Linked DNA regions of Oryctolagus cuniculus. The protein of the gene in region 2 binds, or shares a complex with, the protein of the main gene of each other region. Links are inferred from orthologs where the notes say so. Each region holds a gene or a part of one and is shown on either strand. Other genes may lie near its edges.

Evidence for each region.
Region 1: the proteins of STAT2 (region 2) and IRF9 are in contact, whole or in part, in a crystal structure (PDB 5OEN), measured with the Mus musculus proteins. The link is inferred for Oryctolagus cuniculus from reciprocal best matches to the Homo sapiens genes STAT2 and IRF9. Residues at the interface, in NP_064347.1 of Mus musculus: Arg163, Gln164, Lys166, Asp167, Glu168, Asp170, Val171, Phe174, Arg175, Thr177, Val178, Phe179, Leu181, Lys182, Asp188, His190, Gln191, Gln193, Gln194, Leu197, Thr201, Lys204, Met208; in NP_032420.1 of Mus musculus: Leu206, Leu208, Tyr212, Leu233, Asp234, Arg236, Ser244, Glu245, Ser246, Ser247, Met248, Asp270, Arg271, Leu274, Val275, Ala276, Asn278, Ser279, Arg280, Phe283, Val284, Gln285, Leu287, Cys313, Glu315.

What each region holds. Positions count from the first base shown.
Region 1 is NC_091443.1:51,022,439-51,037,125, forward strand, and holds the end of IRF9 (interferon regulatory factor 9), read right to left. Parts: intron 13,737-14,687; 5' UTR 13,736-13,736; coding exon 13,556-13,735; intron 13,216-13,555; coding exon 13,032-13,215; intron 12,795-13,031; coding exon 12,664-12,794; intron 12,587-12,663; coding exon 12,478-12,586; intron 12,378-12,477; coding exon 12,306-12,377; intron 11,755-12,305; coding exon 11,413-11,754; intron 10,513-11,412; coding exon 10,397-10,512; intron 10,266-10,396; coding exon 10,194-10,265; 3' UTR 9,834-10,193; downstream 1-9,833. Other genes in the region: IPO4 (importin-4), read left to right, coding at 1-92; meiotic recombination protein REC8 homolog, read right to left, coding at 399-490, 584-690, 762-893, 1,012-1,078, 1,328-1,376, 1,482-1,615, 1,709-1,775, 2,013-2,159 and 11 more.
Region 2 is NC_091442.1:59,162,823-59,177,746, forward strand, and holds the start of STAT2 (signal transducer and activator of transcription 2), read right to left. Parts: upstream 13,108-14,924; 5' UTR 12,883-13,107; intron 10,517-12,882; exon of another isoform or gene 10,471-10,516; 5' UTR 10,466-10,470; coding exon 10,335-10,465; intron 9,890-10,334; coding exon 9,736-9,889; intron 9,414-9,735; coding exon 9,318-9,413; intron 9,155-9,317; coding exon 9,065-9,154; intron 8,974-9,064; coding exon 8,898-8,973; intron 8,766-8,897; coding exon 8,680-8,765; intron 8,527-8,679; coding exon 8,378-8,526; intron 714-8,377; coding exon 558-713; intron 457-557; coding exon 364-456; intron 152-363; coding exon 92-151; intron 1-91. Other genes in the region: APOF (apolipoprotein F), read right to left, coding at 13,992-14,924. UniProt on the Homo sapiens protein: Signal transducer and activator of transcription that mediates signaling by type I interferons (IFN-alpha and IFN-beta).

The DNA.
Region 1 (14,687 bases), on a different chromosome or scaffold from region 2:
CCAAACAGCACATCGACAGCTTCCATACAGCCCTGGGCTCACTGCCAGCTGACAAGGCTCAGGAGCTCCAGGCCCTGCTGGGTTTCAGCTAGACTGCAGGCTGCAGCCAGGCCCGAAAGAACAGAGCCTGCCCAGGACCTAAGGTCACCTCTCAAGCCAGCTCCAGCTTGCACCTTACCAAAGAGTCGATCTCCTTTGAGTCAGCCGGCTTGCTGCCTTACAGGGGTGTCCCTGGAGCTGGATTTGTCACAAGTGGAGTCATGACATCATACCGTAATAAAGGCAGCTTGTTTTCTGCTTGGACAGAGGTATGTGTTCAGAAATGAAGCAGGCAGGGCCCAGTGAGGCAGAATATGGTTTAATGGAGCTAGTTTCCTGGCAGCTTTGTAAAATGGGCGTTACCCTCGGTAGAACCGGGGCCCTGGCTGGATCAGGAGGCGCCCGTACGGCTTCTTCTGTTCCACATGCAGTATCTGCTGCGCTGCGAGCACTGGTCAGGAGGGAGAAGAGGGCAGGCAGGAGTCCCCACATGGCCCTGTGCGGGGGGCTCACCACCCCGTGTGCACACACGGCCAGCACTCACCCAGGAGCAGGTAGAAGACCTGCGCAGCCACCCTGCGGGAGCTGAGCGGGGACACCAGGCTGCTGAAGTCAGGCTCCCGCTTGGCCCTCAGCTCCAGTGCCACTGCCCTGTAGGGATGGAGAAGGGTGAGCAAGGCCCCAGCCTGGCCCTCCCCACGGAGGCGCCCCCACCCCAGCACCTGTGCACAGCCTCCAGGGACAGCAGCTCAGGCTCTGGTGGCAGCTCGGAGGGCATCTCCAAGGGCACCTCTGGGAGCTCCGGCACCACCGGCAACGCCGGGGGCTCTGGCTGTTCCATCTCAGCCCAGGCCCTAGGGAGACATGGGAGTTGAGTGGAGCTGGAAGGCGGCGCTGTGGCTGGGATCAGGGCACGCCCATCCTAGCCGGTGGCTACACTGCAGGCTGGGCCTACACAGCCTGGCTTCTCACCAGCGTTCCTCTGGGGGGATGAGGCTGATCCGCGACTTCTCCTCCTCGGCGGGCTCCAGGGAGAGCTCTGTGGGGGCGGCAGGGGGCCCAGGGGAGTGTGACTGGCACTGAGCAGTCTGCCTTGGGGCACCCAGCCAGACCAGCTGTCTGTGCTGTGTGCTGCCTTGGGAAAAGCTGTGTTCTCTCTTATCAGCGCTTTCCCACAGGCTCGGGAAGCCCCCTCCGGGCGGGAGGACTGGAGAGTGCCCTGCGTTAGTTCACCCCAGTCCCTCACAGCTGGGCCACGGGCGGGCCCAGACCCCTCCCCCGAGCTTACCTGAAGACACCATGAGGGGACCGCTGGGCTCCTGGGCTTCCCTCAGGACCTGGAGACGGGAGGAGGAGAACTCAGACCCCGGCCTCACGAGCGTCCGGGGCCAGTGAGCCTGCAGCGTGCGCTGGGCGGGGGCGGAGGGGTGGGGTGTGGGTACCTCGATCTCACTGACAGCCTCAGCCCTTCTCTCCTCTTCCTCCACCTCCTCGGGCGGCCTTCGCCTGAGCGCTCTTGCGGGGGTCTGGGCACAGCGGGTCCACAAAGCCAGTAGTTCCAGGGGAAGCCGGCCGGCTGATGGGGAAGGGGCAGTGGCGACAGAGCCCTGTCACCAAGAGGGAGGACTCGGTCCTGAAGAGCCCTGCGCCCAACCCCCGCCCTCCTTACGGTACGTCGGGGTCCGGAGCAGCTCCGTGGGGCTTGTGATGGTCCTCTCCGGAGGCTGCACCATGGGCTGCGTGGTGGCAGGAGACAGGAGCCTCAGGAGCAAGCCACGCCTCGGCGCCCCTTCACCTACCTGTCCAGACTACAGCCTGCCTGCCCTGCTCGTGCTAAAGGACTACCGGGTGCCTGTGAATGTGCCAGGTGGGGCCGCGGACGCAGCACGGCAAGTTGTGGAGGTGCAAACCCACATCAGGTTCCCAGGCCCCGCCCCCAGCCCACACCTGTGCCCTCCCAGGGCCGCACTCACACACTCCCAGCAGTGGGCCCTGGTCTGCAGCTGTTCTTTGAATTTTTCCCTGGAGATCTGAGTCTCCTTGTCCCAGAACAGTAACTGGCGGCGGCGGCGGCGGCGAGCAGGGGGACTCCTGGGAGATGGGGGCCCTGGGGGCCTCTTCTGCAGAGCGGGGAAGGAAGGGGCCACCAGGCGTCATTCCCTTCCTGTCACCCTGGTGGCTGCTACAGCTCCACGCTCCGCCCACCCCCTTAAGGTGCCTGGGGGAAGGGCTAGGGCACGGCCGCCCACACGTGCGGCTGACACCTTGCATGAAGGGACCAGCTGGGACGTGCAGGCCACATGATGGGGTGTGGAAAAGCAGCATCCTGGACTGCTCTTCAGCCAGGCCCCAGGGGAGCCAGCAGTGTCACTGGGCTTGGGGAAGCAGCTCTGGGAGAGGAGGGACGCTGAGGAGGAGGAACACTCACCTTCGGGCTGGGTGGGGGCGGCAGACGTAGCTCTGGCGATGGGGTCACCTCTGTAACAACACCGGGGTCATGGTTCTGTCCTGCCCGCCCCCGCACTGTCGTCCTCCCTTTGGCAAGTGGACGTGTGGCCTTGTCTGCAGCAGCTGTGGTGTCACTCACCCATGGGTGGGGCCCCGGGCTCCCAGGCTGCCAGCTTCACCTCCTCGGGGACCAGGACCGGGACTGGAACTGGCTCTGCTATCCCTTCCACCCTGGGAGACAACGGGCAAGAGAAGTCAGGCTGCCCGGCTGCCCTAACCAGCACGGGGCCCGCCACCTGGTGCAGGATCCCTGCCCTTACTGGACGGGAGCTGGAGGCGAGAGAGGGGGCACTGTGATGTCGCGCTCTGGGGCCCGGGGCTCCTCCACGGCCTCTGCAGAGAGAGGATCAGCACTCAGGGGCGGAGGCCACGGGAGCGCTGCCCCGTCCCAGGCTGCCCGAGCCAGGGCTCCCACCTTCCGGTGGTGGGCGGGCCCTCAGCCTGGCCAGCCGTCGCTCCTCCAATAAGATAGCTTCGTCTTCCTCTGCAATGAGGAGGTCCAAGTCTCGGCGGCTGACCTCCGGGAGGTCCCGTTCGCCCTGCAGGGAGAGGACGGGCAAGGGGTGTGGCATGCCATGGGGCGGGGCCCCAGGAGACAGGGATGAGGCCAGGGAGATGGAGAAGGTCATGCTGGGGGCCACCTCACCTCAATATGCAGCATGCGGATGGGCTCTGCTTCCTGGAGGGTGATGACCTCAGGGGGCAGCACTGTGAACAAGATCCTGTCTGGTGGGACTGGGGAGTCACACCCACCCCACCATATCTGTTCCCACACTCACGGGACTCGAGTCAAGTCCACCTGGTTCTGGGCAGGCCCAGGCCAGTTACCAGCGGCCCAGCCCTGGGTGCTCACCACTGTTAGGCTCGCTTTCCTCACCGGTAAAGTGGGGTTAAGGATCCTGACCTCACAGGACTCTGGTGAGGCACAGAGGAGGTGACACACACACACACGGGCCTGGCTCTTAAATCCAGTCATTCCTTCAGTGGTCGGCCCTTCCTGTGCCTCTCACCAGAAGTTCTCTCTGCTGACCTGGCTTCCTGGGCTCTGCAGGGACTTCAGGAGGGGCCTCCTCAGGCATTCTTTCTGGAATTGCAGCCTCTAAGAGGTGTCGAATCTTCGGAGGAGGATGGGGAGCAAAAGAGGACAGTTCAGCTTCAGCCCCCCGCTTTCCCACTTGTGCAACAACAGGCAGTGGACAGTGATCTGGTGCCCTTTATGCCCAATTTTGTTTGTTTTTAAAGATTTACTTATTGGAAAGGCAGAGATACAGAGAGAAGTAGAGAGTGTGATCTTCCATCTGCTGGTTCATTCCACAAACGCCACAACAGCTGGGGCTGGGCAGGCCAAAGCCAGGAGCTTCATCTGGGTCTCCCACATGGGTGCAGGGGCCCAAGAAATTGGGCCAACCTCCACTGCTTTCCCAGGTCCATTAGCAGGGAGCTGGGTCAGAAGAGGAGCAGCCGGGATGCGAACCAGCACCCATGTGGGATGCCAGCACTGCAGGCGGAGACTTAACCCCCTATGCCACAGCGCTGGCCCCTACGCCTAATTCTTGTTGCATCGCCAGCAGCATGCAGTGAGCCCACTGGCTGTCTGGTCTGCTTTCCTCCTTGCCCTCACCACCCCACCTCCAGTTCTCTAGCCTTTGTCAGTGTGTCTTGTGCAAGAAGCACTATGCCCTATGTGAACTGCTGTGAGGGACCGAGGCAGGGAAACCAGTTTGTATATGACCCCAACAAGAGTCCATGCAAAGGATCAGACAGGCCCCTGGGAAAGTACTGAGCTGTACTGAGTTCCTGAATAGCACTGGGTTCTGTTGGGAGGGGGATGAAGACTTCATGAAAGCAGATGGCACTGTGGCATAGCAGGTAAAGCCATGTCTCGGCTGCTCCACTTCCACTCTAGCTCCCTGCTAATGTGCCTGGAAAGCAGTGGAGGATGGCCCAAGTGCTTGGGCCTGTGCTGTCACATGAGAGATCCAGAAGAAACTCCGGGCTCCTGGCTTTGGTCCGGCCCAGCTCCAGCCATTATAGCTATTTGGGGAGTGAATCAGTTGATGAAAGATCTCTTCCTCTCTATGTATAACTCCTAACATTCAAATAAACAAATATTAAAAAAAAAAAAAAGACTTCATGGAAAAGGTAGCCTTTAAGCCAGGTCTGTAAGGATTTACAGAGCTTGAGCAATAGAGAATGGCCAGTGACCATCATGGACTAAGAAATGTGGCATCTCTGGGATGTAGGGACCAGACTGGCATTTGGGAGCCAGGGGCCGTGCTGAGACAAGCTGGGATGGCTAGGCCTGGACCTCAGCATGGAGAACCCCAGCTGCTAGTGTGCAGCTTGCAGTTGGAAGCTACTTCGAGCAGGGAGCCAGGGAGAGGGGGCACAGCGTGAACCATAGCAGTGTCGGGAATGGACAGAGGAGGACACGGGCAGGAAGCCCAGGTGGAGATGATGAGGGTCTGGGCAGTGGGGGTAACGTGGAGATGAGTGGAGTTGAGACAGGTTGGCCTTGAGTAGCTAAGTCGAAGGCCCTCTGCCTGGAGGGTCCAGCATGGCGGTGCCCCTGCACCGTGCCCTGTTGGGGAGAGCTGTGGCAGGCTCCCTTTCCCCCACCCCAGGGTCAGACTGGCACAGGGGCAGGACTCCCCATCTGCACGGTCAGCTCACAAGTCTGAGCTGTTCTGGGCCAATGAGCCCTACCTGAGGGATATCAAAAGGGCTGGGCAGTCTGGGGTCCACAGACATGACCCCAAAAAAAGGGTCCGGAGCATCTTCCAGGGTCTCCATCATGGTCAGGTGGTCAGGAAGCAGCAGGCTGGGTCTGGGAGAGAATGTGGGTTAACAAGGCCCAAGGCTGAGCAGGCCGATGCTTCCCCCAGGGCTGGGCGGTTCCAGCCCTGCATCGGTGCTCACAGTTCAGGCTCGGCCATGTCGATGCGGATCTGCAGCTGGGCCCGGTGCAGGCGCTCCAGAATGTGCTGGATGTCCTCTGTGGGCAAGGAGGGCAAGGTGGAACCAGCACAGGGAGGGCCTCTTGGCTCTGCCTGCCACTGGGGTCTCCAGCCTTACCCACGAGGTACTGGCATTGTTGGAAGTAGACCCGGATCACGCCGATCTGGAGCTGCGCTGAGAGATACAGGGAGAAGCGGGGCCGCGGCAGGCCGGGCTGCGGCGGTTGCACTCGGACCAGCACATAATTGAGAATTTCCTGGCTGCGGGGAACAACGCACCGTGACCACCAAAGTGCCCACGACGGCCCCCAGCCGTTCCCCTCCCCCCTTTCCCGGCCTTACCAGGTCTTTACCACGTTCACCTTCAGGTATTCACGCTTCACCAAGCGGCTCCCACGTGTCGCCGCCAGCCTGGAGGGAGCAGCGAGGAGCCGGGGCCGCATCAGACCTGGAGCCCCGGGAGCCCGTCCCCGCCGCCCGGCCGGCCGCGTCCTCACCAGATGGTGGCAAAGCAGCCGGTGTGGCGCTGAAGCACGTTGGGGTAGTAGAACATCGTCCCTCAGGGCTTCCCCGCCGCTGCGGCGATGGGATTCCAATCCTAACTCCTGGCACTGGCCTCCACAGGTGGCGCTGCGGGAGGACCCCAGAGCTACGCTTGGTGTACCAACGTGAAGGGGGCCGACAGGGCCGCCTTTCGGCGCGCCCTTAGTGGGTTCACGCACCGCGTACAGCCATCGACCTTACTGGAGCTCCGAGGGGAGGCCAGGCAGGGCTGGCAACCGGGCTGGTCCCGCAGCAAGCCTTCGTCCTTGACGCCGGGGAGAGACGCCGGGCTCCAAAGCCTTGGTCTCGGCCACCAGGGGTCGCCCTCGCGCAGGAGCGAGCCCCGCCGCGGGGTGGCAGCGCCCGGCCAGCCAATGGCAAGCAGGTGTCGGGTGCGAGCGCTCTTCCCCCACCGGCGCCAAGCAGGCTGCCTGGGTTCGAGGCCACAGGGTTGCCCAAGACAGGCACAGAACCAATCAGAAGAACCCTGCGCCTTGCCAGGGCCATTGTGAGGTGTCCTGACCAATGGGCTCTGTTTTTCGCCTCTAGTAACAAGGACTTTTGGGAGGCGCTTCCGGGCAGACCAATGAGCGGGGAGCAAACCCCGCTCCGACCCGCAGCAAGCCTGGTAACAAAGTGCAACTGGTCGTAGGGGAGGTCGGGTCATGCGGGGGGCAACCGCTCAGGATGGCAAGATGTAAGGCGGGCTCCTGACCTGGGTTTAGACCCTGCCCTGCCCCCCACTTTCCACCAAGTCCAACTCCGCGTGCCACTAGGGCCTGGGCTAGGGAGGTGGCGCAGGGTGGCCTTGGAGCCCCCGGGAGTCTATCTCCCCGGAAACAGCGGGAGACCCCGCCGGACTCACGGCCTAACCTGATCCTTCTGGGGTTGTGAATGTGAATGTTCTGCTGGCTGAACTAGACTTTAGCTTTGTTGGAAGTCCTTCTCCTCCTCCTCCAAATACCGTTCTGTCGCAAACAGTTGGTTTTGCATCAACTCGGGTTCTTTGGTCGCAGCTCCAAATAGCTCTTACTGCTGCACCTCCTGCCTTTGCACAGCCATTTCTTTGGCCTGGAATCCTTTCCCTGTCCTGTGCTTCTGCCCACGCCCTGGGCCTCGCTGCAGCGGAGCTGACCTGTCCTGCTGCAGTTCCCTTCCATTTGAGAGCTCTGAAGACTGGGGTCGTAATGTTTTCAGTGAGTGCCTGGCCTCCAGCGCAGCAATTAGTTGGCAAATGAATGCACAGTTGCCCTATATTTACAACTGCGGAAGGTCAAGGCTGGTCTGGGCCAGGGCCTGCCTTTATGGATGAGGAAACAGGGGTCCATGCAGATTGCTTCTTCCAGACCACACAGCTCCTCAGGGAGAGCCTGGTTTGGAACTCTCTGCTCTTTCAAATTCCAAAATCTTCCCAATCTCTATTCCACTGTGCTTGGCTACATCGCTTTGTCCGTGATACTTACAAATTGCTGGAATATTGTATAAAAGTTGTCAACATTTGTTAAGTGCTCAGTTTGGGGGCACAAAGGTGATGGAGTGGGGACATCTGCCCTTAAGGTGCTTAGAACCCAGTTTAGGAAACAAGGAGGGGTAGTGGTTTGGCACAGCGGTTAAGTTGCTGCCTGGGGAGCCCACAGCTTGTATCTGAGTGCCTGGTCCACGTCCTGGCTACTCCACTTCAGATCCAGCTTTTTGCTAATGTACACCCTGGGGTGCAGCAGACAGTGGCTCAAGTACTTGGGTCCCTGCCACTCCCATGGGAAACCCAGATTGAGTTCTGGGCCCCTGGCTTCCACCCAGCACGCCCTTGACCACTGTGGCCATCTGGGGATTTGACTAGCAGATGGAAGACTTCTGACTGGAGGCAAGCATTGTGGTGCAGTGCATTAAGCCACCACCAGCAGTGCCGGCATTCCCTATCAGATTGCTGGTTCAAGTCCTGGATACTGCACTTCCAATCCAGCTCCCTAATGCACTTGGGAAGCAGCAGATGGTGGCTCAAGTACCTGAGTTCCTGTCACCCTCGTGGGAAGCTCAGAGGGGGTTTCTGGATCCTGGCTTCAGCCTGTTCCAGCCCCAGCTGTTGCAGGCATTTGGGGAGTAAACCAGCCATGGATGATCTCTACCTTTCAAATAAAAAATGAAAATAAATGCAGGTGCCAGTATCGTGGCATAGCAGGTAAAGGTGTCACCTCCAACACTTAGTATGCCTTGTGGATGCCAGTTTGTGTCCTGGCTGCCTTTTTTTTTTTTTTTTTTTTTTTTTTGACAGGCAGAGTGGACAGTGAGAGAGACAGAGAGACAGAGAGAAAGGTCTTCCTTTGCCGTTGGTTCACCTTCCAATGGCTGCTGCAGCCAGTGCGCTTCAGCTGGCTCACTAGGCTAATCCTTCGCCTGTGGCGCCGGCACACCGGGTTCTAGTCCCGGTTGGGGCGCCAGTTCTGTCTCAGTTGCTCCTCTTCCAGTCCAGCTCTCTGCTGTGGCCTGGGAGGGCAGTGGAGGATGGCCCAAGTGCTTGGGCCCTGCACCCGCATGGGAGACCAGGAGGAAGCACCTGGCTCCTGGCTTCGGATCAGCGCAGCATGCCGGGTGGAGCGGCCATTGGAGGGTGAACCAACGGAAAAGGAAGACCTTTCTGTCTCTCACTGTCCACTCTGCCTGTCCAAAAACAAACAAACAAACAAACAAAAAAGTAACAAGAAAGCATGAAGAAGGCACTCAAGAAATGATGATGGTGTGTTTCAAAGTGGTGGTGATAGAAGCGACAGAAGTAGTCAGATTCTGGAGATTTTGAAAGTACAGTGATGGTGGGATTTGCTGAGGGATTGGATGTGGGGTATGAGAAAATTTGGAACTGATGTAGGTAATTTAGATCTTGCACAAAGAAGGTCTGGGAGTGATTTCAGTGCGCTGGGGGGACCATGGGCTTGGGCACCAGATTTCTTCCTTACCGGTGCAGAGGTCTGTTTAGGCTCTTGGCTTCCCAGCGCGTGGCGGACAAGACTGGAGGGGAGAAGGGAGAGGGGTCTGAGGCAGCAGTGAAGCTCCTCAAGAGGGACAGCACGGAGACCCTGGGAGGACCGTGAAGGCGTCTACACTCGGTCACTTGGGTGAGCTGCTGAAAGCTTATGGGTGACATGACAGGAAGTCTGGGGAGCCAACCCGTGTCCGTGCAGGAGGGGAAGCTCCAGGCTGTGGCGAACAGGCAGGTGGAAGCAGTCTGGTGGAACTGAGCCTACAGGAAGTAGGCGCCACGTGGCCTTGGGAAGGGAGCATTTCCAGTGTGGTGGCAAAATGAACGCGGGGATGAGACGGGCAGCCCTCCCATCTCAGTGAGCAGGGTGTTGGCGACGTGAAACTCGGCCGCACTGTGTTCTGGGGCTCCGGTGCGGAGAGAAATCCACTTGGGAGCTCCCGTCTATCAGCTGTGCTGGGGGAAGAAGCACAGAGGCAGGAGTGGCAAGCAGAGGAGGGGCAGCGACTCTTCCCTGCAAGGCCCCCGCGCCTCAACAAAGAACTGTGGAACCCAGATTTTCCCATGTGAAGTTGGTGGCTACAGCGCCTGGGTACAGGCTCAGCACCCCCCTTGACGGTTGCCATCAGTCCTCTCCCTAATCTTGGTTGCCTGGAGGGCACCTCGCCAGGCCCAGAAGCACAGAGCCAAGAAGAGGACAGGGGCCTCAGAGAGGTCAGCAGAGGAGAACTCAGGTGCCCTGCCCCTAAGTCTACATCTCAGTCACGCCCGTCGCCCCTGCCACCTTCTCCTCCCGGCAAACTGAATGCTGATTCCTCTTTCAATAAAATTTTATTTTTAATTCTTAGTGAAGACCTAGGAAGAAAATATAAAGTGCTTGGCTTTAGAGTTGAGGGTTGAGGGAAGAAGGAGAGGCCCCCTGAGTTCACATCATTTGGAATTTCCCAGTCCTTTAGAGATGAAAGAGGGTATATTTCAAAAAATGTGTTTAAAATAAAAATTATCCTTGAGCTCTCCACCAGCCACGATGTGAGGAGTTCAAGGACGTAACTACCACAGCACTGAGAGTGATCAAGAAGGGAGGCACTGACCAACAGTGCAGACAACGAGTCTGTTTCAAGGGAGACAGGAGTGGGAGCGGAGGGGTGGGGCAGAAGGTGGGTTCCCATGCCCTACACCAGGGACAGAATGGCTGCCTGCTCCTCTGGGGTCTCCAGTAAGTGTCGGGCAAAAGCTTGCTCCATCTGCATCAGAAGAGACGGGAAAGAGGCTGTGAGCGAGTGCAGCATGGCAGGTGCGCCCCGCAAGGAGCTCCTTCCCTGAACTCTTTCCCGTCCCCATCACCCAAGCTACTCTGTCCGAGCTCTGAACTCACCTGCACTGTGATAAGACTCTGTGCAGTGTGGCTGGGGCCGGGGCGCTCCTCCCAGAAATTCAGTGTCACCTGGAACTTGGGTGGGGGGCCCAGGCCCTGGAGGTACCTGGCCAAGTCTGAAAGAGAAAGGATCGAGGGTTGGAGGAAAGAAGAGAGAGGAGTGAGAACCACGGGCCGGGAGGGAATAGAGAGGTGGGAGGGGCCACCAGGAGACTAAGCTGCAGGCTCAGGACGAAGGTCGGGCACGAAGCTGTTACTCATCTGTGAGCAAACAGGAAGGTGGGGCCCTGCCTCGAATAAGTGTCTGGAGGCAGCAGACCTTCCGCACGACAAAGGCTCGCCCCAGCCAGAATTGAGTCCTCCACGACAGACGCCCAGCTGCCAGCGCAGATGTGCTCCAGCTTTTTTCGCTTGCTCACTCTCCCAGTGCTGAGGCATCCACACCCTGGGAATACCCACACCCCAATTCCCCTGAACTCTGGCCTGCCCTGAAGGTCAGGTTTAGTCGAGTGGGCCTAGACCTGGAATTCTGAGTGGATGGGAGCTGCAGACAAGCTTCAGGGATGCCTCGAGTGTAGCTGAGACAGGCATAGCTGGGGCCAGGGTGCGGCAGGTGTGTCCGCTCCCCACCATGTGCCAATGCTTCTGCAGGCCAGCGCAGATGTGAGAGGGCTGTGAGGTTCCCAGTGCCCGTGCTGACCTGCCCACACCTCTGCATAAGTAGCTTCAGGGTGACGATAGTGCTCCCAGAGAAGCAATGCTCTTGTACCAGGCTCCACCCCAATGCCATCTTCCACAGCCTTGACGGGGGAAGGAGAGGGGCCAGGCAGCTGCCAGCGCCGAGCACAGGACCACAGAGGAGGTGCCACAACGAGTGCAGGGGTGCCCAGCACAGGCCGCAGTGGGGAAGCTGCTGGCTGGCAGGGAGGAGCAGGACCCGCCAGGTCAGCCCAAGGCCTACTGAGGGGCCCGGGTCAGAGGGTAGGGGCTCAGAGGCCCAGCCGGAGCAGCCTCACCTCTGCAGAAGTAGGCAGTCTTGAAGAGCTCCACACACTCATTGCTGGGCAGCAGATGCAGGCCTGGCCCAGGCGGGACCTGCGGTGCATCCCAGGAGACGAAGACGGGGCAAAGCCGCTGAGCAAAGAGGCCTCGGGAGTTGCTGGCCACCAGGAGGCCTCGGTCTAGCTGGCTCAGCAGGCGCTGGGTGGGCTCCAGGGGGTCAGGCTTGGGAAACACCACCTGTTCCATGTTCCTCTCAGAGCTTAAGGGCTCGGCCACGAGGCGGCAGTCGAGGCTGTGCACCCGTGCTTCACCCACCACACGCCCGTTGTAGATGAAGGTGAGCAGCAGCGAGTAGTCTGGGGACAGAAGAGCCCAGCTGTACCTGGTGCCAGAGGGCTTCACGGCTGGCAGCCCCTCTCCAGGGGCACCTGGCCCGCACAAGGCTTTAGGGAAAGGAAACGAAGCTCCTTGCAAATCCAAGGTTCTCATTTTGCTGCTGAGGACAGAGACCCAGGAAGGGAAACCCAGCCGGAGAAGACAAGGCAGGCCAGGAAGCGGGGGTGGCAGCCTCTCCTCATCATCATTCCCCGGGCTCTCTCACCAACCGGGGGCTTCCTACCACTCAGGAGATAGCTAAGGTCCGTATCCACCCTGAGGTCTTATGGTTCACAACAAGGTCCCTCAAGGCGGGGCCTCTGTTTACCTCAAAGAAATCAGGTCTCCATACGGATATCCAGGCAACAGAGTTCACAGCAGTGTTTCTGAGGAGCAAGCTTTGTGGAGGCTGGCACCTCTGCCTATGGGAGAGTTTGCTGCACGCCCTGACTGGCTAGATAACGCATGCGTGGGGAGGGGAGGAAGGCTCCAGGAGCACAGAGAGCAAGAAAGATTCAGAAATGCTAAGAACCTGGGTCTGGAGGGAGCAGAAGCTCCGAGGCCACCATATCCCCTTGCACAGCAGCCTCAGTTACATTCGCACCTGGAAGGAAGGCGAAGGCACCGGTCAGAGTGGGGCTAGGGAGCCCTTGGGCCAGTAGCTGTGGCAAGTGGGATGACATAAGAAGCCCGGGAGGTGGTACCTTCCTGTGGCTCTGGGCTGCCACCGCCGTTGCTACTGCTGCTGCTGTTCCCGGCGTCTGAGTGGTTTGCTTCCCCAGTGGCCACCATCTCTGCCTGCACACACAGTACCTGTCACTGGCCAATCTCCCCCAGTCCTAGGTACTCTCCTGCCCCCAGGCCCACCCAGCTCCCTCGCCAGTTCTCACGTTATCCAGGGAGTCCTGGAGGGAGGCGGGATTGACCATGCAGTTGCTTGTGATACCCTCATCTTCCTCCCTCTCAAAAGACACAGAACTGTGGTGTCGCCTTGATGCTGATTTCCGGGTCCCTGGCTGGGCTGTGGAATTGTTGAGGGGGAGAGAAAAGTCAGGTGTTCAAGAGGAAAAGAGGGTGAAGGGCTGAGGGAGTGAAGGGCTGGGCAAGACTGGGAAGGGGAACTGGGAGCAGCTCTCCAAGGGCAGGGTCAGGGCAGAACTGATAGCCTCCGGAGGCCTGCCACCTTTCCAGAGCTCACATCTCTGTCCTTTCCCCTGGTCTGCTGGTTCTGGGCGTGGCTGGGCAAGGGGACACTCACCAGATGGAGTTCCTGGTGGCAGCAGCCGATACACCTTGTAGGGCTCAGCAACATCCATTCGGCCTCTCTTGGGAACCTCCTCAAATTCAGAACTCTTGTTGAGGGCACAGCGCAGGCGAGTCTTCCAGGCAGCAGGGCCTCCTGGGTCTCCCTCTTTGTACTTGCCTTTAAACATGGCCCAGGCCTACAGAGACCAAGTGAACAGGAGGCTGCACATTACAGAGCCCGGCTGCACCTCCCACAGGGCTGGCTCACGGGCTTGTGGCCTGAGCACTTGTGCAGGGCCCCTGGCTCAAACCAGCTTGGGCTGCATGTGTACTTTGCTTTTGCCATCTCAAAATCCTTAATAAGCTCTGAATTTTCACTTAATAACTGTTGCGCCTTCACATTGCACCAGGCTCTGCAAACGACACAGCTGGTTCTATTTGCCAACGTGCCCTGGATCTGAAACCCTAACAGACACCAGCACCAGGGGTGAGCGTACCATTGTCTAATCCATCCCTTGCTTGTTTCCCTGCCCTCACCTTGAAGAAGGCGGCATCCTGGTCCTCCCGGAAGTCCTGCTTGCCCGCGTGTTTCCAGGGAATCCGGAACATGGTCTTAGCTGCATCGTCCCAGCACACACCTGGGAACTTCCCGCTCTCCACTTGCTCCACCACCCAGTTCCGGAGCTTCCGGGTGCATCGTGCCCTGCCCGATCCCATCCTAGGGGGACAAGAGAAGGGAGAGACATCAGAATCGATAGCTGGAGGGGGCACACCTGCCAAGACCCTAGTCACTGGGGCCAGCTTCCTGCAATGGCCCCCAGAGGCCCCGTCCAGTTCTCGGCTCTCGATGAATCTCACTCTTCCCCGAGGCAGAGGTGTTTCACTGCCGCCGTGACCAGCAGTTACCAAAACCTATGCTTTTTAACATTCCAACCTGTGATATCTGGAAGGAACCTTCAGAATCGATTTTAAGGGAACTTACAGTTTGAGAATTCCCTGTGTCTTTTTTAAAATTTAAATTTTATTTGAAAGGCAGAGAGACACAGAGAAAAATCTTCTATCCACTGTTTCACTCCCCAAGTGCCCACAATAGCAGGGGCTGAAGCCAGGTCAGAACTCAGTCTCTTTCTCCCACGTGGGTGGCAGGGACCTAACTACTTCAGCCATCACTTGCTGCCTGCCAGGACGTGCATTGGCAAGAAGCTAAAACACCAGGCAGAGCCAGGATGCAGACCCAGGCACTCGACAGAAATGCAGGCGCCCTGAGCAGTGTCAACCACTGTACAAAACACCTGCCTCTGGCCAGCACACTGGCGTAGCGGGTAAAGCTGTAAAGCTGCCACCTACAGTGCCGGCACCAGTCAAGTCCCAGCTGCTCTACTTCCAATCCAGCTCTCTGCTATGGCCCAGGTCCTTGGGCCCCTGTACCCGCATGGGAAGACCTAGAGGAGGCTCCTGGCTACGAGTAGGTACAGTTCTGGCCATTACAGCAAACTGGGGAGTGAACCAGCAGATGGAAGACCTCTTTCTCTCTGCTTCTCCTTCTCTGTGTAACTTTTTTTTTTTTTTTTTTTTTTCAATTTACTTGACAGAGTTAGACAGTGAGAGACAGAGAAGGTCTTCCTTCCGTTGGTTCACCCCCCAAATGGCTGCACGGCCGGAGATACGC
Region 2 (14,924 bases):
AGGGCCCTGTTGTAGACTGGGTTTCTCTTCTACCCCTCCAGCCCACGGTCTGGCCGCCGCTTGGACCCACCCTTCACCTGCCTCGACTTGCCTGTCAATGGAGACTTCCACGGTCAGGGACTCACTGCCTTCCTGGAGTCTGACCAGCAGCCTGGGGGGGAAGGGGAGATGGAGAACCTGGTGAACTTGAGCTTCCTGGAGAGGCCAGATGTTTGAAAGAGATGAGGGCAGGGACGGGGAAGGGTGGGTAGATCGAGGGGAAAGGGAGAAGAAAGGGCCGAGAGTGGGGGAAATCTGTGAAGCTGGAGCTGCCCAGCAGTGGGGCTGGGAAGAGGAAGCAGGACTGAGCTCTGAAAAGCTAACCTTGTTCGGGCAGTGAACTTGCTCCCTGTCTTGATGATGAGGGGTCGATGGAGAACCTGGGGCATGCAGGGCTGGGTTTCGACCACAAAGGCTCTGGAGAGGGGCATGGAGAGAAGGCACAGCTCAGGGTCTGTTAGCGTGGCTCCCACGCTTGCTTCCTTCTCTCCCTACAGACCCGGCCCTGGCCTCCAGACCTGTAGAGCAGACGCTTCAGCAGTTCTAGGATCTGGGACTTCTGCAGGTCTACACCTTTGATCAGAGGGTCATTCTCGTAGGTAACCAGGTGGGTCACCTGCAGCTCCTTAGTTAGCTTCCACAGGTGAAACAGCAGCTTGGCTCCCTCTGTGAACCTGGATGACAGAACCCAGGGAGAGGGAACCCTTGAGTTTCCTGGAGCTCACCTCTAACTATCAGGGCAGTCAGAAACTCGGGGGAAGAGGACAAAGAACTCTGGAAGCATATGAAAGATTACTCAGTATAATTCCTACACCCAGACATGAAGATCAAAGCCATTCTCAAAACAAATAAAACCGATAAAAGGCTTATCACATAACAGTTACCTTCCATATGATACTTGCTATGTATGGCTTATACTAAGCACTTTTTTTTCAAAGATTTATTTATTTATATGAAAGGCAGAGTTACAGAGACACAGAGGTAGAGACAGAGACAGACAGAAATGTCTTCCATCTGTTGGTTCACTCCCCCAAATGACCACAATGGCCAGAGCTGGGCTGATCCAAAGCCAGGAGCCAGGAGCTTTTTTCAGGTCTCCCATGCAGGTGCAGGGGCCCATGGACTTGGGCCATCTTCCACTGCTTTCCCAGGACATAGCAGAGAGCTGGATTGGAAGTGGAGCAGCCGGGTCTCGAACCGGAGCCCATATGGGATACCGGCACTGCAGGTGGCGGCTTTACCCACTGTATCACAACGCTGGCCCCGATACTTTATACATATTAATGGATTTCATCCTAACAGCAATCCTATGAGCTAGGTACTGTAAGTTTTCTCCATCTTTCAGATGATAAAACTGAGGTATAGAACAGCTAAGTGACTTGCTCAAGGCCTTAAAACTACAATAGTAAGGGATAAAGATTTTTTTTAAAGATTTATTTATTTATTTGAAAAACAGAGTTACAGAGAGGCAAAAGCAGAGAAGAGAGAGAGGTCTTCCATCCACTGGGTCACTCTTCAAATAGCTGCAATGGCCACAGCTGGGCCAATCTGAAGCCAGGAGCCAGGAGCTTCTTCTGGGTCTTCCGTGTAGGTGCAGGGGCCCAAGGACCCAGGCCATATTCTACTGCTATCCCAGGCCACAGCAGAGCTGGATTGGAAGTGGCGCAGCCAGGACTTGAACCAGCGCCCATATGGGATGCTGGCACTGCAGGCAGTGGCTTTACCCACTACACCACAGCACAGACCCTGGGATAAAGCTTTTATGGGATCCTAGGCAGACAGGCTGCAGAATCCATACTTTTAACTCCGAACTTTACTGTCTCTACAATAAGTAACAATAATCATAAGCAATGTTGTAACAGGAAAACAATCATATACTACATATGATAAAATAGATTGGACAACTTTTCTGGGAGGCTGTTTGGAGCTACCTTTAAAAACATTTTTTGGGAGGCTGGTGTTGTGACACACTGGGTTAAACAGCTGCCTATGACCCCGACATGCCATATGAGTGACAGTTCGAGTCCCAGCTCCTCCACTTCTGATCCAGTCCTGCTAATGCACCTGAGAAAGCAGCGGAAGGCAGCCCAGGTGCTTGGGCCCCTACCACTCACATGGGAGACCTGGATAGAGTTCCAGGGCTCTGGCTTTGGTCTGGCCCACTCCTGACTGTCACAACCACTTGGGGAGTGAAGCAACAGAAGGAAGATCTCTCTTTCCCTCTCTCTGTAACTCTGCTTTCAAATAAATGAATAGGGGCTGGTGTTGTGACACAACAGGTTAAGCTGCTACCTGCGATGCCAGCATCCCAAACAGCCGCTGCTTCAAGTCCTGGCTGCTCTATTCCTGATCCTGCTCCCTGCATGAAGCTCCTGGCTCCTGGCTTCGGCCTAGCACAGCCCCGGCTGTTGCAGCCATCTGGGAAGTGAATGGAAGATCTCTTTGTACGTCTGTCCCTCTCTTTGTAATTCTGAACTTCAAGTAAATAAACATTAAAAAACTGAATAAATCTTAAAACAAAAATTTGGAAGGTAGTAGCAACATTGTGGCACAGCAGGTTAATATGCTGCTTGAGATGCTGGCATTCCACGTAAGTACCAGTTTGAGTCCCCTCTGCTCTAGCTCCCTAACACACCTGGACAGGCAGTGGAGGATGGTCCAAATACTTAGGCCCCTGCCACCCATGTGGGCAACCCTTTCATGGACTTCCTGAGAATGCCAATTGTGGTCATTTGGAGAGTGAACCAGCAAATGGAAAATCAATCAACCTTTCTTTCTCTTTTTTTTTTTAAGATTTATTTTATTCTATTTGAAAGACAGAGTTACAGAGCAAGGTAGAGACAGAGAGAGGTCTTCCATCTGCTGCTTCACTCCCCAGATGGCTGCAACAACTGGAGCTGTGCCTATCTGAAGCCAGGAGCCAGGAGCTTCTTCCGGGTCTCCCAAGTGGGTGCTGGGGCCAAAGGACTTGGGCCATCTTCTACTGCTTTCCCAGGCCATAGCAGAGAGCTGGATTAGAAGAGGAGCAGCTGGGACTAGAACCGGTACCCATATGAGATGCTGGCACTTCAGGCCAAGGCTTTAACCCATTGTACCATAGCACCAACCTCTCTCTCTCTTTCTCTCTCTCTTTGTCTTCCTCTTTGTTACCTTGTCTTTCAAACAAATAAATAAGTTTTTTAAAGTGTGTTCAGGGGCTGGCATTGTGGCATAGCATGTAAAGCTGATGCTGCAATGCCAGCATCCCATACGGGCTTCATGGGATATATGAAAGCATCCTGGCTACTCCACTTCCAATCCTGCTAATGGCCTGGGAAAAGGAGTAGAGGAGGGAGACCAGGAAGAAGCTCCTGGCTCCTGGCTTCAGCCTGGCCCAGTGCTGGCAGTTGCGGCCATCTGGAGAGTGAACCAGCGATTGGAAGATCTCTCTCTTTCAATAGGCTAACCCTCCGCCTGCGGCGCCGGCACGTTGGATTCTAGTCCAGGTCGGGACACCGGATTCTGTCCCGGTCGCTTCTCTTCCTGTCCAGCTCTCTGCTGTGGCCCGGGAGTGCAGTGGAGGATGGCCCAAGTCCTTGGGCCCTGCACCCATGTGGGAGACCAGAAGAAGCACCTGGCTCCTGGCTTTGGATCAGCACAGTGCGCTGGCCGCAGCACACTGGCCTCAGCGGCCACTGGGGGCTGAACCAACGGAAAACGAAGACCTTTCTCTCACTGTCCACTCTGCCTATCAAAAAAAAAAAAAAAAAAGATTTATTTTTTTTTAAAGGCAGAGTTACAGAGAAAGGGGAAAAGACAGATCGAGAGAGGGAGGGAGGGAGGGAGGGAGAGAGAGAGAGAGAATAATTAAATCTTAGAAAAAAAAAAAAAAAAACAGGCAGGCTGCAGTTTGTCAACCCCATACGGATAGATACACTCACAACTGAAGTTTAAGCGCTGGCTGCGTACCTGGTTTTCAACTTACATGGACAGTTGTGGTACATTTCTATTTATTTTTAAAAATATATTTATTGATTTTTTAGGCAGAGAAACAGAGGTCTTTCATCTACTGGTTTACTTGCCACAGCCAGGACTGGGCCAGACTAGAGCCAGGAGCCAGGAACTCCTTCCTGGCCTCCCACATGGGTGGCAGGGGCTCAAGCACTTCAGCCACCACCTGCTGTCTCCCAGTCTGCATTAACAGTAGGCTAGGGGCCAGTACTGTGGTGCATTGGGCTAAGCCTCCAACTGTGGCACTGGCATCCCATATGGGCTCTGGTTTGTGTCCTGGCTGCTCCTCTTCTGATCCAGTTCCTTGCTGATGGCCTGGGACAGCAGTGGAAGATGGCCCAGTATTTAGGACCCTGCACTCCAGCAGTTGTGGCTCTTTAGGGAGTATACCAGCAGATGGAAGACCTTTCTCTCTGTCTCTAGCTCCACCTGTCAAATAAATAAAATCTTAAAAAAAAAAAAAAAATAGGCTAAATCAGAAGTGAAGCAGCCAGGACTCAAACTAACACTCTGATATGGGATGCCAGCATCGTAAGTAGTGACTTAACCCCACTGTACTACAATGTCAGCCCCTGATACATTTTTAAAAGTTTGAATTATAATGAACTTTCTTATGAGAAAATACTTTTAAGTGTAGGTGTTAGTAAAATGGCAAAGTCTTATTATCTGTGGTGCCATTTATGCCCCGGGCGCCATCTTATCCCTGGCCTTGGTCACCAAGCCCCATGGCCCAACCACTAATGTCAGTTCCAACCCCACACCCTAATGGGATTTGCTTCCCTGTCCCCTGGCAAAGGTTTAACAGGACCTGCTTCCAGCATGCATGCTCTCTCTCTCCTGATTCCTCTCTCTCTTAACTCTCTTGCCCTCTCCTCCTGGCCCATCGGGCTTCCCTTACCTGACAATAAACCTTTCCCTTAATCTGTGTTTGGTGTTTTGTGGCGACCTTACAGTAGGTATTTTTCAAACTTGTTGAATGATATAATAGTGATTTATTTACATATTATAAGATTACTATAGGTCTGCACTGCAGCTCACTAGGCTAATCCTCCGCCTGTGGCACTGGCACACCAGGTTCTAGTCCTGGTTGGAGTGCTGGATACTAGTCCCAGTTGCTGCTCTTCCAGTCCAGCTCTCTGCTGTGCCCCGGGAAGGCAGTGGAGGATGGCCCAAGTGCTTAGGCCCTGCACCCACTTGGGAGACCAGCAGGAAGCACCTGGCTCCTGGCTTCGGATCAGTGCAGTGCGCTGGCCGTAGCAGCCATTTGGGGGGTGAACCAACGGAAGGAAGACCTTTCCTTTCCTTTTTTTTTTTTTTTTTTTTTTACAGCAGAGTGGACGGTGAGAGAGAGAGACAGAGAGGAAGGTCTTCCTTTGCTGTTGGTTCACCCTCCAATGGCCGCCGTGGCCAGTGCACTACGGCCGGCGCACCATGCTGATCCGAAGGCAGGAGCCAGGTGCTTCTCCTGGTCTCCCATGGGGTGCAGGGCCCAAGCACTTGGGCCATCCTCCACTGCACTCCCGGGCTAAAGCAGAGAGCTGGCCTGGAAGAGGGGCAACCAGGACAGAATCCGGCGCCCCGACCGGGACTAGAACCCGGTGTGCCAGCGCCGCTAGACGGAGGATTAGCCTATTGAGCCACGGCGCCGGCCAGAAGGAAGACCTTTCAACTGTTTCTCTCTCTCACTGTCTAACTCTGCCTGTCAAAAAAAAAAAAAAAAAAAAAAAATTACTATAAAATAGTTTAATAGGAATAAAATAGTAAGAAATAGAAAATAACCTAAATGTATGTATGGGCTGGCACTGAGAGCATGATGGGGCCAGCACTGTGGTGTAGTGGGTAAAGCTGTCAACTGCACTGTCGGCATCTCATATGGGCACCGGTTCGAGTCCTGGCTGCTCTGCTTACGATCCAGCTCTCTGGTATGTCCTGGGAAAGCAGTAGAGGATGGACCAAGTCTTTCAGCCCCTCCACCTGTGTGGGAGACCTGGAGGAAGCTCCTGGCTCCTGGCTCCTGGCTTCAGATCAGCACAGCTCTGGCCGTTGTGGCCAACTGGGGAGTGAACCAGTAGATGAAAGACCTCTCTCTTGCTGCCTCTGCCTCTCTGTAGCTCTGCCTTTCAAATAAATAAATAAATCTTAAAAAAAAGAAGTAATGTGATAAATATCATAATATATTGCTAAGTTAAAACAAACTAACAGGTTTCAAAATAGCATGAACAACATGGATCGATTTCTAATGAACTACATCTGGGTGGTAAGATAACAGGTCACTTTCTTGTTTGGGATTGTACAAGGGGTCTTCAGAAAGTTCCGGAGGGGTGAGCATTTTAGCCTAGTGGTTAAGAGGTCCACGTCCCACATCAGAAACTGTGTTCGGTTTCTGCTCTAGCTCTTGACTCCAGCTTACTGCTAATGCAGACCCTGAGAGGCAGCAGTGGTGGTTCAAGCAACTGGATCCTTAGTAACCCATATGGAGACCTAGACTAAGTTCTAGGTGCTCAGCTTCAGACCAGCCCAACCCTGGCCACTAAAGGCTTTTGGAAGATGAACCAGCAGATAGGAGCTCTTTCTATCTGTCTCTGCCACTCAACAACACCCCCCAAAGTTATGGAAACGTAAATAATGAAAAAAAAAGCATGCATCTCAAAATTTTATGCACCGAAATAATCTTGTTTTTCTTTTTTCTTTCTTTCTTTTTTTTAATTTGAGAGGCAATAGATACTAGAGTGAGATGAATAGAGAGACAGAGCTCCTCTCTGCTGGTTCACTCCTTAAATGCCTCTCCCTGCAGTAGCCAAGACTGGGCAAAGGCTGAAGCCAGAAGCTGGGAACTTAATCCAGACTATTTCATATGGATGGCAGGAACCCAATTATTTTAACCATCATCACTGCCTCCCAGGGTGTGCATTAGCAGGAAGCTGGAATCAGGACTCAAGCCTGGACACTCCAATACAGAATCCAAACTGGTAGTCTAACCATTAGGTCTCCCCTAAAAACTGCTCTTTTAATTCCATTTTCCAGGGCTGGCGCTATCGCGCAGCGGGTTAAAACCCTGGCCTGAAGCGCCAGCATCCCATATGGCCGCTGGTTCAAGTCGCGGCTGCTCATCTTCTGATCCAGCTCTCTGCTGTGGCCTGGGAAAGCAGTAGAAGATGGCCCAAGTCCTTGGGACCCTGCACCCACGTGAGAGACCCAGAAGAAGCTCCTGGCTCCTGGCTTCAGATCAGCACAGCTCTGGCCATTGTGGCCATCTGGGGAGTGAACCATCGGATGGAAGACCTCTCTGTCTTTACCTCTCTCTGTAACTCTTTCAAATAAATAAAATAAAATCTTTTTAAAAAAATGTCTCCACACACACACACAAATTCCATTTTCCATGAATTTTAAAAATACCCCTATATTCACTGTACTGAATTTAAAAAAATAGAAAATCTAGGGGCCAGCACTGAGGTATAGTGGGTAAAGCTACCACCCATAGTGTTGGCATCCCAAGTGGGTGCTGGTTCAAGTCCCGGCTGCACCACTTCCAGTCTAGCTCTCTGCCTAGGAAAGCAGTAGAGGATGGCCCAGGTCCTTGGGTCCCTGCACCTATGAGGGAGACCCATAAGAACCTCCAGGCTCCTGGCTTCGGATTGGCATAGCTCCGTCCACTGCGGCCACTTGGGGAGTGAACTGGCGGATGAGGAACCTCTCTCTCTCTCTCTTGCCTCTGCCTCTCTGTAACTCTACCTTTCCAATAATAAATAAATCTTCTAAAAAAAAAAAGAAAATCTATTTAGGCAGTGATTTAAAAAATGAGAAGCCAGGGACCAGTGCTGTGGCGCAGCGGGTTAACGCCTTGGCCTGAAACACGGGCATCCCATATGGGTGCTGGGTCTAGTCCTGGCTGCTCCTCTTCCAATCCAACTCTCTGCTATGGCCTGGGAAAATAGTAGAAGATGGCCTAAGTTGTTAGGCCCCTGCACCCGCATGGGAGACCTGGAAGAAGCTCCTGGCTCCTGGCTTCAGATCGGCGCAGCTCTGGCCGCTGCGGTCATCTGGGGAGTGAACCAGTAGATTGATGACCTCTCTCTCTGTCTCTACCTCTCTCTCTAACTCTGTCTTTCAAATAAATAAAATAAATCTTAAAAAAAAAAAAAAAAGTCAGGTTATGGATTAATCCACTACTTTGACCAAAGCAAGGACTGAGCTGTGGGCTCCCTGGGTGGTGAGGGTGAAGGGCGGAGTAGAGCTGCAGTGAGCTGGGATCATTGTGGGGAGCAGAGAACAGCGGGCGACATCTGCTACATACAGGGCTATCTACAACTTGCACGGCAAGGACCAGGGCTGGGGAGGTGCATCTCACCACTTCTCCAGCTGTTGCAGCCCAGGCTGCTGGAGGGCTCCAATGCAGGCTTTTTGCTGCTGGGCTTTCCACTCATCCAGCTCCGGCAGCAGCAGGTCGACGAGGGTAGTCAGTCGGCCTAACAGTGCTTTGGAGTCATCCAGCACCTCCTGGAAGAGAGACAGCAAGAGTGCCGAGTGCCTCTCACCTGAAGCTTCCACCATGCAACTGGGGATGCTGAGAAGAAGCAGCCAGGACCAAGAGCCCCCGGGTCCCTCCCATTTTCTCAGTGTCCTGCCCCCCCCCCCCCCCCCCCCGCCCACCTTTCTCCTTTTGTCCAGTTCATTGAGGGTTTCTTGCAGTAGCTGCTGCTGTCTGTTCCAATGAGGATCCGAACAGGCTGCCTTCCCTGAACGACAGGAGCCAGAGTCAGTCAAGGGGCTCTCTCCCCTCTACTTTCTGGCTACCTCTTAAGAGTCAAGGTTGACTTTGACTCCCTGGAGCTTTCCCCTCCTGTTCTCCCCCATCTGATGTTCCCGACCTTGGGCCTGTGTGTTGTAGCGGAAGCGGAAGACGTCCTGCAGGTCTGCCAGCTGGCTGATGGACTTCACCAGCTTCTGCGGAGGGGATGGGGTCCCACTGAGGCTTGTTTTGAGGGAGGCCACAGAATAAGCCCTGCCTGCCCCGTCTCTTGCCACACTGACCAACCTCCATCATAGCCTTCAAATCCAGGAGCCGGGACTCGATATCATGCTGCTGGCTCTCCACAGGTGCTCCCAGAGCCGGCTGGCCTGGCTCCTGAAACAAGAGACTGAGCATATTTCAATTCCGACCTTTGGGCCCTGAGGGCCAGACCTGAAACTATACCACAGAATATAGTGGGGAATCCTGTTCTAAGAGTCCTTCTCACGGTCACTCCCTACTCCAGGAGCTTCCAACACCACCAGCAGATTGTTCTTACCATCTGGGCCCTCTGAGCCTGATTCAGAATTTTTTCTTCTTCCAAAAGGAGGTTAAACATCATTTCAGCCAATTGGGTAGGGCCTCTGGGGAAGGCCTAGGGTGGGAGAAGAGGAAGGAATAATCTAATTCGACCCCTCTTAGTGTCCTGCCACCCTTGACCCTCCCCACACTGTCCCCTGTAGTTCCCCCTCCTTCAGGGTCCTGGCCATTTCCCTTTTCACCATTGGGTTTCCTAAACCCGGCCACCCTCCCGATGGTGTCATCTAGCCTCTGTCGCAGATTCCCCAACTTCATGTTGTGTTCTTTCCCCAGATCCATGCTCTTCTCTTTGTACTTCCAGGTACCATGCTATACCCCAAACCTTACTCTACACTTGGCTTCCAGTCCTACCCTATAGTCTCAGCTTCTCCCAGTACCTGAAGGTCCCGGTAGAATTTTCTCAAGTTGTGTTGCAGCAACAAGCACTCAGGGTCTTGACTGCAGCGGCCACACTCGAAGTTCACTTGCTCCAAGAAGTGGAAGAACAGCATGGTAGCCTTAGAATCATCGTTGCCCAGCACAGCTTCTCGCCTGGGGGCCAGGAACAGCATTAGTGTCTCCACAAGGTTGCTTCTGCCCTGAACCCTCCCAACCTCTTCCTGCTTTTGACATCTCCAGGATCTTAGGCACTCCTAAGAAAGAAACAGGGGCTGGCATTGTGGCAGCCCCTATCAGAGCACTGGTTCGAGTCCCAGCTGCTCTGCTTCCAATCCAACTCCCTGCTAATGCGCCTGGGAAAGCAGTGGAGACAGCCCAAGTCTTTGGGCCCCTGCATCCATGTGTGGGAGACCCAGAAGAAGCTCCCAGCTCCTGGCTTCGGCCTGGTCCAGCCATAGTCATTGCAGCCATTTAAGGAGTGGACCAGTAAATGGAAGATCTCTCTCTCTCTAACCCTGCCTTTCAAATAAATACAGTAAGTCTTAAAAAAAAAAAACAAAACCCTCCTTTATCTCCTCCAACCTACTGAAACTCTCACCAGTTCTGGTCTTCAATCCAGGCAGCCAAGTGCTGTCGAATGTCCACTGGCAGGAGGCTATGTGAGTACAGCTGGTGTAGCAGATCCTGATATGGGCCGTCCAGATCCTGCAGCATCTCCCACTGTGCCATCTGGGCTTCGAGATGGAAGGATGCAAGATTCCAACTGAGTTTTTTGCAGGACTAAATTGTAAAAATCATACTTATTACATATAAAAATTGAACATATTTATGGTACTATGTGATGTTTCAGCATATGTATATATATATTAAAAACATTTACTTAGTTTAAGGACAAAGTAAGAGAGAGGGAGAGTAGGGGATCTCCCATCTGCTGGCTCACTCCCCAAATGGTTCAGAAAATCAGGTCTGGGACAGCTGAAGCCAGGAGCCAAGCACACCATCCAGGTCTCCCATGTGGGTGGCAGAGGCCCAAGTATTTGGGTCATCATCTGCTGCCTTTCCAGGCACATCAGCAGGGAGCTGGAACAGAAGCAGAGCAGCCGGCACTCAAACCAGCACTCTGATGTGGGCTGCTGGCATCGCAAGCAGCGTCTTCACCTGCTGCACCACAACACCTGCCCCACGTGTGTATGGTATGCAAAGTCCAGTCAGGATAAATTGATTACTAACTTAAAATATTTTTAAGCATTTATTTATTTCAAAGCAGAATGGCAGAGACAAAGAGAGAGACAGAGATCTTCATCTGCCAGTTCACTCCCTAAATGACCACAACGGCCATGGCTAGGCCAGGCTGAAGCCAGAAGCCTGGAACTCCCATGTAGGTAGCAAGGGCCCAAGTACCTGGTCCATCTTCTGCTGCCTTCCCAGGTGCAGCAATAGGGAGCTGGATCAAAACGGGGTTTCAGCCAGGACTCAGACTGGTGCACAAATATAGGATGCAGGTGTTGGGGGAGGCAGCTTAACCTGCTGCATTACAACTCTGGCCCCATCAATTTAAATAAAATAGTACAAGGCATCCATGTACTTATCATCCACCCTCAAGAAACATTAATATTCCTACTGTCTCATTTCACACCCTCTTTATTTTGAATTTGTTTGTGATCATATGTGTTTATACTGGAGTAAAGATCGATGTCAGTCCTAAGTATTTATTACAGCATGATCCCTGCTGGCCTGGTGCTGTTTTAGGGGATGAAATCTTTTTGGAGATCAAATAAATGTTCCTCAAACTGCCCTCCAGGTAGGAAGGACAAATTCCACGGTGGAAGAATGTTAAATACTTTGCCACTCTGTCTCTTAGACTCGGACACTTTTATGGCCTCATTCAATCTCGGCTCTCCATATGGATTATCAACTTTGGGAAGACTCAGAAATCTCACTTGAAACTCCTTTTTGTCATGGAACAGGTTGTGCCTTGTATATTTCCCCCCACCTTTTTGTGGCCACAGCCATCTTATATCTTTTCAGGAAATTAAAACTTACTTCTTGTTGCAGCTTGAGCCTAACAGAACTGAATAAACGGGCACATCTGTGGTCTAAAAATGTCACCTGCTTTTATTACAATGCATGAATTAACACCAGCTGCCCTTCTAACTCAGGCAGAAGCTCCTAATTTTCATTTTAATTCTTCCAGTAAAGTTTGAATTTTTAACCTATGCATCTCTACTGCTTTTAAGAAATTTAAATAATGATAATAAATTTAAACAATGAGGAGGTCATTATTCTGGAGGAACTAAAAGGCTTATATTAAAGGAACAAGATTTAAATATGAAAACAAACAAGCAAAACAAAACCTGATCTCCCCAGATTGCAAACATCGAGGTAAGTGACTGTAATACATTTTTTGGCACATATTTTGCACTCAACAAACTTTTCTGAAATGAAATGGATTTTGCGTGTTCCCTTAAGCATATCATTTTGCACTTTAGTTCTTTGTACCTTTTTATGCAACAAAGATGATAAAAAATATCTATCTCTGGACACTTTTTTGGTAAGGATCAAAAATAATGCAGCAGGGGCAGAGTTGTGGTGCAGTGAGTGATGCTGCTTGTGTTGTCGGCATACTATATCAGAGCGCCAGTTCTGGTCCTGGCTACTCCACTTCCAACCCAGCTCCTTGCTAATCCCCGTGGGAAAAGCATGCCAGGATGGCCCAAGTGCTTGGGCCCCTGCCACCTACGTGGAAATCCTGGATAGAGTTCCTGGCTCCACGATTCAGGGGCTCAAACATGGTTGTTGCAGTCTTTTCAGGGAGTAAAGCAGTGGATGGAAGAAATCTCTCTCTCCCTGTCACTCAGACTTTCAAATAAATAAATCTTTCAAAAAATAATGCAGTGCATAGGCAAATACGTTGGACATCAAACCAATGCAATAATGCTAGGTGCCGGGTCTCGGGCAGCAGGGGAGTTTTGACAAAGGGGCGTTAGGGTTGGGGAGCTAGGCTGGACGGACAAGAGCGAGAGACCCCGCACGAAGACAGCTCCTACTTCAAACCGAGGACAGAAGTTGTCCCCAACGGGGCGCACCCCCTGGAGCCAGCCGCTCTTACCCCACCTCTTCCTCGCACACCCTCTCAAGGCCCATACCTGTGAGGGTCGTAGTCCCCGCTCCTTCCAGTGGCTCAGGACGCGACTTTCCGTCCCCTGAGGGAGCTAGATACCAAAGTGTACCGCCCACCCACTCACAAATTCCGTCTGGCACCTGAGCCCGCCCCTTCCGAGTGGGCTGGACCGGCGCCTGAAGACCCGGGGCTCGAAGTCCCCAGCCGGCGCCTCGACGCGGGCTGCCACTCCACCGAGCCTTCCCCCAGGCTGCGAGCTCATTGGCGCTGCCACAAATCCGTCCTCTCCGCAGGGCGGAACAAACTGCGCCAGAACCACACCTACAGTTCCAGTGATTGGTCAAGACGCCCAAGTAGGTCCCACCCCGCGCCCGCGACGGGGAGGAGTCCAATGAGCGGAACAGCCGGGGACTCAAAACAGCTGATTTTCGAGAACCCGCGCCGGGGCTGGAGAACCGAAACCATCTTGAGAATTCTGGAAGCACTAAAAACTCGACCGGAAGTGGTGGAACCAGAAGTTTAACTCTTTGGGAGTGGAAGGGACACACTGAGGTAATGAATCCCAAATAATAAACAATTTATTGTCGGTACCCTGATTGTCAGTTTCCACTGGAAAAAACTCTGCAGGTGAAAATTATTCCCACCTTAGACATTTAAAAACCGAGTTTCCAGAAAGGAGTTACAAGTCAGTGATCGCAGGCACTAACGAGAGGCGCTTGGGCTCAAAGCAGAATCCTTTTAATTTCCTACGTTTTGGGGCCCGCGTTGTGGCGTAGTGGATCAAGCCGTTGTCTGCAACGCCGGCCTCCGCGCTCCCTGCTAATGCCCTTGACAAAGCAGCAGAGGATGGCCTGGGCCCCTGCACCCACCTGGGAGACCTGGATGAAGCTCCTGGCTTTGACCTGGTCCAGCTGCAGCCGAGATGACCGTTTGGGGAATGAACCAGTGAATGGGAGATTCTCTCTCTGCCTCTCTCCCCCCATAACTCTGCCTTTCAAACAAATGCATAAATCTTGCACTGCTTTCCTCCAAGGTAATACTTTTGAATTTGGGGTTTGAACACATGCACACATGCACAACGTGTCAGAATACACAACGTGTCAGATTTATTCATTCTGTGGTTACCCCCTTCTTTTATATCACAAGGTTCCCAGCCTCAGGATATGAGTCATAGCTGTTGAAAACCTCCCACTGCCTGTAGGGAGCTGAATTCAGCATTTCTGAGCCCAGAGGATCTGTGGGGGTTGTTTCCTCCAAATCACTCACATCCAAGAAGCCTCCCAAGCTGTCAGTGCCAGTCTCTGGTGGAGGAGTGTTTGCCTCTTTCTCACTGTGATAATACTGAATCAGCTTCTGAACCCCGGCCTTTAGTGCGGGCTTAAGTGCAGCACTGATGGCTAGACCCATGGGCCCCCCTGACAGCCCAGCCATGGCCATCAGAAGGTCATAACCCAAATCTATGGCCCCATCCTGGCCCCGTTCATGGGCCTTGTCAGAGCAGTTATGAGCAGCATAATACAAAGCTGTGCCCAGGTTGTAGTAGGTTCCCACTCCCGGCAAGAGCCGGACAATGCTGTACACACCTTGCTCCCGCTCATTCTCACAGTTCTCACGGGGGAGGGAGCGTCGGGCCCGCTCTGGGCCTGCCTGCTCCTGGGCTAACAGCTGCAGGGCAGAGGCCAGGGCTTCCACGGACACTCGCCTCTCTGTGGTTCCGCCTTCCTGGAGCTCTTGAAGATGGTGGATGAGGATCTGGGTGGCATTCACACCGCCCCAGTGGTGGAGCTGCCGTTGCACGGCCCGTGCTTCAGCCTGGCAGCCCACTTTATCCAGGGCGCTCCTTAGAGCCAGGCCTACCAGGAACTTAGGTAGAGGGGCCAAGTGGTTGAAGCCAGGCAGGGACTTTGGGAGCAGGGTCTGGCAGGACAAGGAGCCTGAGGAGGGCGACTGGGAGGATGAGGGAAGGTGCTTTGAGACATTTGTCGGCTTTGCATGGAGAGTGGCATCCACAGAGTGCAGCAAGAGGTAGCAGAGAAGCAGCTCCACTGGCACCATGACGAATCTGAG